3 linked regions of the Oryzias latipes genome follow. The protein of the gene in region 3 purifies or fractionates together with the protein of the main gene of each other region. This does not show direct contact. Links are inferred from orthologs where the notes say so. Each region holds a gene or a part of one and is shown on either strand. Other genes may lie near its edges.

Region 1 (3,716 bases), about 22 Mb from region 3:
GTTGTCCAAGGGGAAGGAAATTTACCCCAAAAAAGCACTTTTTGTCTCAAAAAATACCCCCCAAAAAAAAAACTAGATGGATTTATAGATTGCACAAGTGTTTTCTTACATCCCAGTCTCACTTGTTGCTACAACATTACCCTTTGTCTCGTTTGTGATACAACTAAAAAAAAAATTCCAAAAGTTATTCCTCTACTTTTGAGCTTCATATCTTTCCACAACAAAAGCACATTTCCTAGCCTTTTCTCCTTTCTACTATAAGTCACAGCAACAAACTACTGACAAACTACTGCACCTTGTTCACGCTTTCTTTACAGCATTAAACATCAGCACACCAAAACAGATTACATCAGGTTAACTATTAAAAAACTGCCCAGAAAACTTCTACTTAAAAAAAAGAAGAAGAAAAACTATAAAAGGGATTATTCACATTTTATTATTTATTTGTAAATGTCTTATTTTCAGTTCTTAGTCTGCATACTAAGTTAAAGAGGGTAGAAATAAATCTTATTATATAGAACCATAAAAATGTAACAGTTCAGAATTCTGACTGTGAATGCTGAAAGCATTAAAATGTGAAACTCTGGACAGAAGGAATTTCATAGTAAAATAATCAAAGAGGTGTCAAACTAAAGTTTCAATTATCATATGATCAAAAGTAAACAATTACAAATGTAATACGGATTTCAAACTCTGCAGAAAAGAGGAGTTCCTACATTACCCAGGATCCTCTGTTTATGAGGCCCTTTTATAGTGCTGTTGTGGGGGAGGGGGGCAGCAATCAAGCTCCATCTCTGAAAGTCTAACCCATGTGTGCTCATGATTGGCTACAGTGGTAAAATACATGTATATTGAAGGTTCTTATTACTACAGAGGCACATGTTGGCTCTGGCATGATCCATGCTCCCATCAGTCTAGGTGATTTCTGCAGGTGAGCAGACATCCACACTGAGAACCGAAGACGAACTCTATAACCTGTTCAGACTGACTGACTTCATGTCTGAGTGTTGCACCACCAGGACACTTTTTTTGTTTGCTGGCGTCTTTGATCGCACAGGCACGAGGATGCATAAACAAACTTGCATCTCCAGGGATATGCATTAAAATGTTGTTGTTATGAAGGGACGAGCCTTGTTAACTCTAAAACCTCCTGTAACTGTGAAATAAAGGATAAAAACTCACTGTACAATACTCCTTATCCATTTAACCCTTGTGCTATCCTAGGCACTTTAACGTTGGGAGTTGGGTCATCTAGACCCACCAGACAGTGCTCTGAACCTTTTTTCTTCAATGATTTGTGATCTTCACTGGTGTCCATGGATTACATGAAATCTTTCCACCTTTATCCACGGTAGGGAGAACACGTCAATGTAAGGTTGGGGTCATCTGGACCCCACATGATAGCACAAGGGATAATGCACACAATTTCTTTAGAGTAAATATCTTTCTGTGCTTCTAGAGTCCTCAGGTTGCCCAACAAAAATGTTGTTTGCCTGCAAGCTCAGCTTCCTATCAAAGTATGCATCTAATCAGTGTTTTTGGTTTAAGAGTGTAGATTTGATCTTCTATCATCACACCTCCTGTGTGATATACAATGACCACTCTAAGACACTCTTAAACCAAGTGTGCAACGTTGTGCTGCTAAAACAGATTCAAGCACATTTTTTTTGCTCTTTTTAAAGTTAGTCTTCTAAAAGCTGGTGAAGTTAGAGCCAGAGAAATTCAGTCATATAGCAGCAGACTGACAGGCATCGGCTTCAGCCAGCAAAAGAGAAGGCCATGCTTCCAGCACCGACAACACCAGAACTAATGCAAGAAAAGCAGAAAGGGGCCGAAAACCCAAAGAAAGCAATGATTTGAGTTAAACAGCCCCCTAAACAAGCTGTGGGCTTTCAGCACCTTAACCTGCATAGCAGAGAGAGAGTTTGCTGAGACTAGATCCTCCGAAAATAAAACCCTGTTAAAGCAACAGTTGGTCCGAATGAATATCGGTTTAAACAGGGATTAGAATCAAAACAAGCATTTTCCCCCACTCCAATGAATGCTAGCTCCAAGTTTGGCATTAGCAGACTAGCCTGGCGGCCGCTAGCCAACTCTTTCCTGCCATGTTTCATCCTTATCATTACCAGGAAGAGAATCATCATCAGGGCAGAGCCCTCTGCTCTCTGACCACCAAAGGAATGGAAAAGGACCAGCACCGGCCACTGCAGCTTCACAGTCTGACACGTTGAAGGTTGGAGCAGTTAGCCAAGTTTGTCATTCAGCTGCGAGTCACTGAACCTGTTCATCCACAACTGTCACCTTAAAGTCAGCCTGTTTTCATTTCCAAGTTAAGGCCACATCACCACCGACTCCTATGCAGCTGGGGAATGCAGGACCATCATGCCCCCCGGCCGGGAAAGAGCACGGCGCTGATCCGCCGCTCTACTCCACTATTACACCCAAGTTAACAACTGGACAGTCTTGGCAAACGTGCGGCGTGAGAAGTTCATGTCTGCGTCCATGCGCCACCACTAAACACAGACCAAACGTTTTCCAATGATCTGCCAGGCGCTTATTCAGCCGTGTGTTGGTCACGAACAGCAGGCCGCGTCCATGGACGCCACGCCGGCCACCCGCTTCACGAGAGTCCGAGGCTCCAGCGGCCCTCCGCTTCCTGGCTAATTTAAAATGGCGGTGAACGCTAGCTAGCCTGCTAGTACCCAAACATGTTTGACGGAAATCATTCCAGTCATTTCCACAGAGGGAAAATGTGACACTGGATGGTCTTTTCCCTCCACATACCTTTAAATTTGAGGTCGGAAGGCGGGTCGAGGATGAGAACCTGTTCCAACTTGGACATTTTAGCGCGGGTGGTGATGCACTTGGTGTGGGTACGCTGGAGGAGTATCTGACAAGTGGAAGTCCCGGATCCCCTGCCACTTCGGAGTCAACCGCGGACTGACTGACTTCTGCGAGCCGGAGGGCGAGCATGTGGCTACAAATAGTTGAGCGCGCGGGCACAAGCCTGAGCGGCTTCCTCGCGGCTCCGCAGCTGATCAGATTACAGCACAATCCAAGTATTTTCAGTTTCAAACTCGAATACTTAGCAGCACACACACACCATAAGAAAAAGTAAATGAGGATAAAATAAAGTTTAAAAAAAATTGAAAGTGTAAAAAAAGTTTTTTATGCCAAATGAAACAGAAATCCTTTAGCATGAAAATGTCTTTAATACTGATATTATTGTACAGTAAATTGATCTGTTCAAAGGCTTTAACAGAACAAAGTTAAACTTTTCAAGTGGATTATCATAATGACTAATACATCATTCTAGCATTATATCACTGTTTAAAGTATAAAGAATAATAAAGGCACTTTTGTGGAAATGAAGGCAAATACTTGTAGGAAATATTCCACCAAATTGAATATAAAAGATGGCATTTTCAAAAGTTTTACTATTTCTATCTCACAGGCATTACAGTACTTCATCTTCCAATTTACAGCAAGAAGTTTAATCCCAAATCATCCGTATAAAATCTCGATCAATATGTCTTCACCTCCAAATATTTCAAGGTTGGCTTCAACAGGTTTGTGCCACTTTTTATGTAAACAGATGCTAAATATAAGCACTCAAATAACATTTAATAGTATACAAGATATTAAGGCACAGCGGATGCTGGGAAATGTTTTTCTTCTCCTTAAAAAGGCTTCAAATTATTCTCAATGTCAATACA
Region 2 (3,753 bases), on a different chromosome or scaffold from region 3:
CATGGCTACCGGAAAGGGGACAAAGTGGCTGCAGTCTGTTTATTACTGGGTAATATATAATATTCTGAGAAGATGTCAGAGAGCACAGGTGAAACTCGCGTGCAGCTAGAGAGCGGTCGACTGCAGAAGAATCAACACGCACCCCCAACAACACACGTGCTCCCTCCTCCCAGTCCTACACACGACGCAGCGCGCTCACACAGTCACAGTCAATCTACAACACATATATAATTAGTTCATGAGTTAGATAGTTAGTAGTTAGTTGTTACTGTTATTTGTTAATAAAGAATACTACTTTATAATTGTATTTATTTATCATGCGGCCACCCGGGGATTTTGTGTGGGGGTTTTTTTTGGGGGGGGGGGGGGGGGGGGGGGGCTGCGGTTAATTGCGACACCGCGCCCCCTGGTGGTTCATCACCGTGGTGATCAAAAATCCGACATGTCACAGCTCTACCCGCGAGAGCATAAAAGTTTTTAATTTCTTAAAATAAAAATTGGTGTGTATTTATTCATATCTAGGGGGAATTGGACTTGAAATATCGGATGTGGCAACTATACATTAGGACTTAAACACTGTCTCTATATAACCTAACCTGACAGAACCAAATTTAAAAGATTAATGCTAAAGTAACAAGCAAACACATGTTTCTATGCAACTGTAATTGTCACTTCAAAAAGTTATAATAAATAAACAATGAGTTATTTAACATTAAGGGGTAGTTATTTTTCATTACATTTAGTTACATGTATAAGTTATATCTGGCCCTTTGAAGACAGACACTATGCTGATGTGGCCCTCGGTTAAAATGAGTTTGACACCCCTGGTTTAGAGCATCAAGATAATGTAAGTTGGATTTTTGCTTCACACTTTTTTTATTTTTTACTTTGAAGTCGTAGTTTTTACGCTGCTTTGAAAATTAGACCAGAAGAACCCAAAAGCACCTGTTTCATTGTTGTAATGTGGTTGAAATTTTCTGGAAGGATTTATATAGTTTCAACAAAAAACAGAATCGTAATTCTAATTTAATCCTAATTCAAATCATAATCTTAATTCCATAACATTCACTTTGTTTGTACAAAAAATAAAATAAATAATCCAGTTTATTTTTATAAATGTTTAAAAAAACATTTATTTGTATTTTTATTCATAAATGTCGTTTCTGAAAGAGATGCCACCTTTTTTGTATTTAAAAAAACGATCTCATGTTTTTTTTTATCCATAGAAAAAATACATAAGAAAACTATAAAAATTTTGAATTGTTTATCGGTTTCTCTGGATTAATTTATTTGTTTCTTTTAATTTACTTTTAATAAATTGTTATTTTATTGCTACTCTCAGTTTGGTGTTATATGGCTATTTTGTTTTTAATATTTTCTAGTTTACTACTTGTCAGATGGTATACTGCCTTGTGTTTTGGATTTCAATTTTCCATACGGGAAAAACGAAAAAACCTGTGTGATTTTAATTCGGAATTTTGTCAATTAAAAAACAATAACTTGGCCGGAAGTCACGTGTGTTTACAAACGGTCGCATCCGGTTAGTAGCCCTCCATCTGCATGTGCTAAAACTGAACGTCTATTTGATCGAATTGTGCAGTTTTTTGGCGGCATGGTTCCTACAGGGTAGACAAAAGGCCACCCACACATTAACAGGCATGTTAAAAATATTTATTTAGTTTTATTGGCTAATTGGCAGTCTGTGTTCAGATGTACAAGAAGTTAGCATCACAGTTAGCTAGGTAACTTACATGATGATCCAGTAAGTTTGTTAGCAGATATTCTCTTTCTTCCACATTAACTCATTCAACAGTTGCAAGCTTTATTATTATTTTTTTAATGTTGCTTTTCGTAAAACGTATACATTACCTTTACTCTGGCTCTGTTGTTCTGAGGTAGATCTAGATGTTTGTTACCTCTGTTGTCAATGTGTCATGTTCTCTGGTCGTGTTTTATTTAACCTCACGTTGCAGTTCTCAAAAACTCTCGATTTACTAAATGCATTCAAAGAGTTGTCATATAATTATAAGAAGCAGTTTTCTGTGTATACGTATTGCTGCGGAAACGTCACAGCTTTAAAACCTCCTGTACACTCGTTCCGACATCAGGTAATCCGAAGTTCAGCCTGATTATTTTTTTTTTTTTTATCCTTTTAATCAGTTTCCTTTTTCAGAATGAAATGGTATTTTAGTAACCCAACTATCTACATTCTCTGTTAAAGGTTCGAGCACAGACTGGTCTTTACCTGCACAACATGAAGCCAGCCACCATCTATGGAAGAGAAACCATAGAAGTAGGGTTAGATGAAGATGAGGAAGATGGAGGAGAAAGTCGGGATGGACCTGAGCCTGGAGCGCCTCTGGAGCACAAAATGACCACAGATCAGGTGGAAACAGTGAGCATGGCTGTCAATGAAGTCTCCAAATTGTCAGGTAAGTAGATTATAGACTATGTCATCCTAAAATCTTTTCTTTTTTCAGTCAGCAGCATCGCCTATAGGTAAGATAAAGGCTTCAAAGAGATGTTTTTAAGCAATCTTGCATTTTAATACTTCAATTTTTTGTGCCTACATTGTACTTTTAATGGTAGTTTGGAAAAAAAACCACTATGATGAAAATGGCATTTCGGGTGTTTTTAACATGTTCTTGCAGAATTTTTCTGATGTAGGACATATACTGTATAAAGAAAGTAAGATTAAAATAGCTTTTTAAAGTTTTTCTTTATTCTAATCATTGTGAATCTGGAGCAGATACAAAAATGCTGTTAGAAAAACCTTGTAGGTTTTTGACACATACTACTCCGACGGGCCACAAGCTCCATTCTGATGCATCCACATACAGACAAATAGATCCATGTACGTCTCTATTTTCCTCGTCTGAGCTGGAATCTGGATATAAACTGTTTGGCTGGATAGCTCCAATGTCGCTTGCCATTTTTGTTGCACCACTAATGTTAGGTTGGTGGTGTGAGTGGCTGTAAACCAATGCTGCTCTGCAGAAACTATGTCCTCCAAAATCACACAGGTTGTTTGATTTAGGCTAAAAGTGGCATGATCATAATTAAAAGACCTCTGGTAACGCTTTGAAAATAGATCAAAAGATGATTGAAGTGGGACTTTAAATACTTTTCTACCACCTGATGTCTTTGTTTGCTCTTTAAAGGTCCTCCAGCATCAAGCAAGAAACCCTCAAAGAGTCAAAAGAGGAGGGAAAAGAAGAATCTATTTAGAAAAAAGTTCAAGGCCTCTAATATTTCTGCTGACTTGATGTCAGAACTTCCATTTGCACTTACCAGCCCCACCACATGGAAAGAACTGGGCTGTATGTACACTTTTACTATTTAAATATAACCTATTGGTAGTGGGGTTTTAGCATCTTTGTCTTTTTTCCCGTGGAGTCCCTATCCCAGAGGCAGCAGAGAAAAAGAGAAAGAGAAAAAGGGGCGACCGAGTGGACAGCGAGGAGGACGGAGACGGTAAAAAGAAGAAAAGAGAAGAAAGCAAGCGACCCAACTACTTCCTTTCCATCCCCATCACTAATACTCAGGTAAAAGCTGCACCAATGCCTTATTAAAAACAACCCAAAAACAACCGGTTTTAGAGGACATGAGTTTATTATTTAATTTATCTGACATGTACATCCTCCTTTATTAACCCCTTTAAGTCGTCTGTTGCTCATTTAGAACTTGCCTACAAATCCACGACTGCTTCTAAAATTTAACATCACCAGAAAGAACATGGAAGATTATATTTTT
Region 3 (3,753 bases):
TTTTTTGTTTGTTTTTTTTCGAACTTTATTGAATGTAACAATTCAATACAAAACAATGTTAAACAGCAACAACGAAAGAACAAGCCAGGGGGTTATTGTTTCATTTTACGCAGATATATTGGAACTGACACACAGACCAAATGTTTTGATGGCTTTCTAATTGTCAGAGTTTCTTATTGTGTTAATGTATTGTTTGAACTCATTGATAAAGTTTGAGAAATGAGGGGTATGATTCGTAACTTTTGATTTATGAATGTGCCATTTGCATAAAAACAACAAAAGGTTAATGATGTACAATTGTTCTTTTTTATGAGATGGACAGTGGGTGAGGCCAAACATAACATTTTCTAAGTACAGGCGAAAGTCACGGTCAATGTGGGCGGAAATGAAATGACAAACTTTAGACCAGAGAGTGGTGGAAAAGAGACATGACCAAAATAAATGTACAACATCTTCAGGGTGTTCTTGACAGAAAGAGCAGGCAACATCAATATTTTCTTTGAACCTTTGCAGATATAGTTTGGATGGATAGAATTTTTGGATCAGTTTGAATGAGATTTCTTTCACTTTATTGGTTAAAAAGTATTTCGCTTTCCAGATCTTTTTCCATTCTAAATGACAAACTAAATTATTCCAAAAAGAAACTACGTAGGGAATGGAAACAACATCCTTCTGGAAGAGTGAGCGTATACGGTGATTTGTGTTACGTGAAGAAGAAAAACAAATTTGGCCTATTTCTATTTTAGTTGAATCAATTGGTAATAAAGTTGGACTCTGCAATGATGAGCTTTTGAATAACATAGTAATAGATTTAAGAATTGCTGTCAAAACAATGTTAAACTCAGTTTTTGGTATTTTGATGGAATAATTGAAGCAGAATTCTTCATGTGACATCAAAGATCCGTTTGAATTAAACAGCTGATGGACCAAAAGGATGTTTTGATTAAACCATGATGGATAAAATAAAGATTTAGGTCTATATGTAATGTCTTTATTGTTCCATATGTCGTATCTATGTGGAAAACAATGGTGTTTGTAAATAAGTGACAAGGAAAGTAACATTTGTTTATGGAAGCAAGAAAGCTTAATTGGGATCTTTTGTACATTATAGTTACAGAATAAAAGAAAGTTTATGCCACCTAATTTGGAGAAAATGTAATTTGGTATGAAATTCCAGATTGAAGTTGGATTCTTAATAAAATGTCTCAAATAAAAGTAAAGCAACTGCAAAGTACGAGTCTAAAAATGCGGAAGCAAGCCCGGATTAGCATCTTGTCACCGACTCGTGGAGCCAATCCGAGCCCACCGTGAAGGCAGCTGAGGGCCGGGGAGCAGCTTAGTCACACAAACACCAGTGACCGCTAGCTCCATGCCAGCCGAGCAGGCAGCAGCCGAGTAGCAGCAGCGGAAACCGTTCACGGGGAAGGAGGAGCGGGAGAGGGCGCGCGCGGGGACCGCCGGAAGGGACTCCAGACATCACCTCCCCTCATTTCCAGTAGAAAGCGAGAGTGGTTTGTCCGTTTCACCGGAGGAAACGCCAAGACCTCCGAATCATCAAGTGGAAGGGAGGTTAGCTAGCCTGCACCGCCGTCGCCGCCGCCATCTCCTCCTCTAAGTCGGAGCGGCCGCCGTGTCTTCCACACCATGGGGAACGCCGCCACAGCCAAGAAGGGCAACGAGCTGGAGAGCGGTGAGTGTGCGCCGGGAGCGGGCCGCCGTGTTCCGCTAGCATCCACCATCAGAGACGCCGGTGACACTTTTTTTACAGCGGCGACGCGCTCGTTTGCTGGAAACCGCTGTAGAGGCGGTGAGGGCCGGCCGCTAACCCGACTTCATTCCTCCGTTATCTGCCATCTCTGCGCGAACCCGTCCCTTCTCATGGCGTGAAAAAAAATGTTGTTGTTTTTTTGCACATTATTGAAATCACAGTATTTAAAGAATTAGTAAGTTGTTGGAAACCCCGAGACTGTGTTGCTGTCTTGCATCCCGGGAGTGGGGAAGAGAGAAGCAGAGAGACGAAGTAAAAAACACGCTGCTAAAAAAAGACGCTCCCGAAAGATATGAATCTTAATGAATACCCAAAATGTTATAATTGAAAGTTTGTGTTGGCTGCTAGTCGGTAACGAAATCTGGAGAGGAGCTAGCTTGCTAACTTTAGCTTTGAAGGGGGGGGATTAGCCCTCATAAGGCCCCTCGTTCCCCCTTGGAAGCTATTTAGGGCCGAGACCGTTAGCCCCGGCGTGCGGTCATTTCCTGTGTCCGGCCTGAGGCCGTTTGGTTGGCCGTGTTTACATTGAAGGCATCATCACCTTCGCGTTGTGTCATCCCGGGCTTCTGTCTCTGCCTGACAGCAGGGGGATGTGGCTTTCGCTGTGCCTTTTGGCTGCGGGCTCACCGCCACCATCATCATCATCATCATCAGCACAGAGCCAGCTGTTGAACAGAAATTTGGATCTCGAATCTCCAGTAAAACTTAACTTTAAATGAAGCCCAAGAGCCGTGACTAATTGGAGTAAACGGGCGTTGCGGTTCACTTTGAAGTCGGTGAGCAACTGCCCCCCCCCCCCCCCCCCCCTCTGGCTTCAGTGCCACGTTTTATTCTTAGGCGCATAAACAAAACATTCCCTCTGTACAGCGCCATGACCAAATATGGTGAAGAAATGACAAATCCCTTCTTTCCATTCATAAAACGGGGGCTTACTACTGCCTTTGTGGCAGATGTGTGCACACGCTTAAGAAGAAGAAAAACAAAAACCCAACACCATCGAACCCCCCCCCCACTTGTGTTTGTGTTGAAGCTCTTCTCTAATCTTGCCGTGGTGAAGGTCCATCAGGGCTCACTTCTCACACTCGGCTTGTCATTGACTGGAGCAGCTTGTCATCGGACCTTCGTCAGAGGATAAGGGGGTATTACAAGCTTTGAAAGGTTTGACGTAACTGGACCTGGGCCAGTGTTACTTTACGCTCATATAGTCTGATGTGTGCAGCTGATCATCATTGAACACCACAGTAGTAAATCAGAACTGTTTCCTCATACCTGGTCGTAAACCGTGAAAGTTGTTGAGATTTATTGTGTTTTCTGATGACCACAAACGTACGAATACGATGGAAAGCACCTCTTCTTTTTCACAGATTTTTTTCTTCTTCTTCATATTTTTGATAAAAGATCAAGGTTTTGCTGTGACTCTGCTTAAAATGCTTGAACCAAGAATCCAACCAGCAGCCTCTCCGGAGACAGAGATGATCAGATTAGTGATGGAATCGGGACTCTTTTTCTTTTAAACGCACCTGTGATCCCCGTATCTTGTGCGGCGGCTAACTGTTAAACCTGTTTTAAGATGACACGGTGCCCTGACTGGCAGATTTGTTTCTAGCGTAGCTGCTCCCGACAAACAACCAGGTAACCTACAGCGCCTGGTGTTTACTGTACACTAAGGTCAGTGGCTGCAACAGTTAGATCATCAGCGCAGTCACGGATGGACAGCAAGGTTTAACTTGTGCCGCCATGACACCGATGGCCTTTCACAGTACCCGTGTTTCTGTGTTTTTCTGGTTTGACAGGAAAAGTAAACAAAACTCATTAAACAATTTACTTTTTCTTTTAACCCAGAAGAACCCAGACCCACTTTTCCTTAAAAATAAAAGACCAAGCGGACCACTGAACATATTTTTTGGTGTGTTTTTCTGTTACACTGATGTCACCCCCCGGTTCCTATAGATGAAATATGTTTATTTGCTTTTAAAAAATGTCAG

Evidence for each region.
Region 1: the proteins of cAMP-dependent protein kinase catalytic subunit beta (region 3) and vapa purify together in Homo sapiens (affinity purification with mass spectrometry; 4 studies listed by BioGRID and IntAct, counting the BioPlex papers as one, with this or other methods). This does not show direct contact. The link is inferred for Oryzias latipes from reciprocal best matches to the Homo sapiens genes PRKACB and VAPA.
Region 2: the proteins of cAMP-dependent protein kinase catalytic subunit beta (region 3) and akap7 purify together in Homo sapiens (affinity purification with mass spectrometry; 4 studies listed by BioGRID and IntAct, counting the BioPlex papers as one, with this or other methods). This does not show direct contact. The link is inferred for Oryzias latipes from reciprocal best matches to the Homo sapiens genes PRKACB and AKAP7.

The regions. Positions count from the first base shown.
Region 1 is NC_019875.2:4,825,254-4,828,969, reverse strand, and holds the start of vapa (vesicle-associated membrane protein-associated protein A), read right to left. Parts: upstream 2,947-3,716; 5' UTR 2,843-2,946; coding exon 2,785-2,842; intron 1-2,784. UniProt on the Homo sapiens protein: Endoplasmic reticulum (ER)-anchored protein that mediates the formation of contact sites between the ER and endosomes via interaction with FFAT motif-containing proteins such as STARD3 or WDR44.
Region 2 is NC_019882.2:15,864,114-15,867,866, forward strand, and holds the start of akap7 (A-kinase anchoring protein 7), read left to right. Parts: upstream 1-1,512; 5' UTR 1,513-1,934; coding exon 1,935-2,108; intron 2,109-2,221; coding exon 2,222-2,432; intron 2,433-3,161; coding exon 3,162-3,320; intron 3,321-3,396; coding exon 3,397-3,545; intron 3,546-3,753. UniProt on the Homo sapiens protein: Probably targets cAMP-dependent protein kinase (PKA) to the cellular membrane or cytoskeletal structures.
Region 3 is NC_019875.2:26,776,927-26,780,679, reverse strand, and holds the start of cAMP-dependent protein kinase catalytic subunit beta, read left to right. Parts: upstream 1-1,400; 5' UTR 1,401-1,644; coding exon 1,645-1,690; intron 1,691-3,753. UniProt on the Homo sapiens protein: Mediates cAMP-dependent signaling triggered by receptor binding to GPCRs.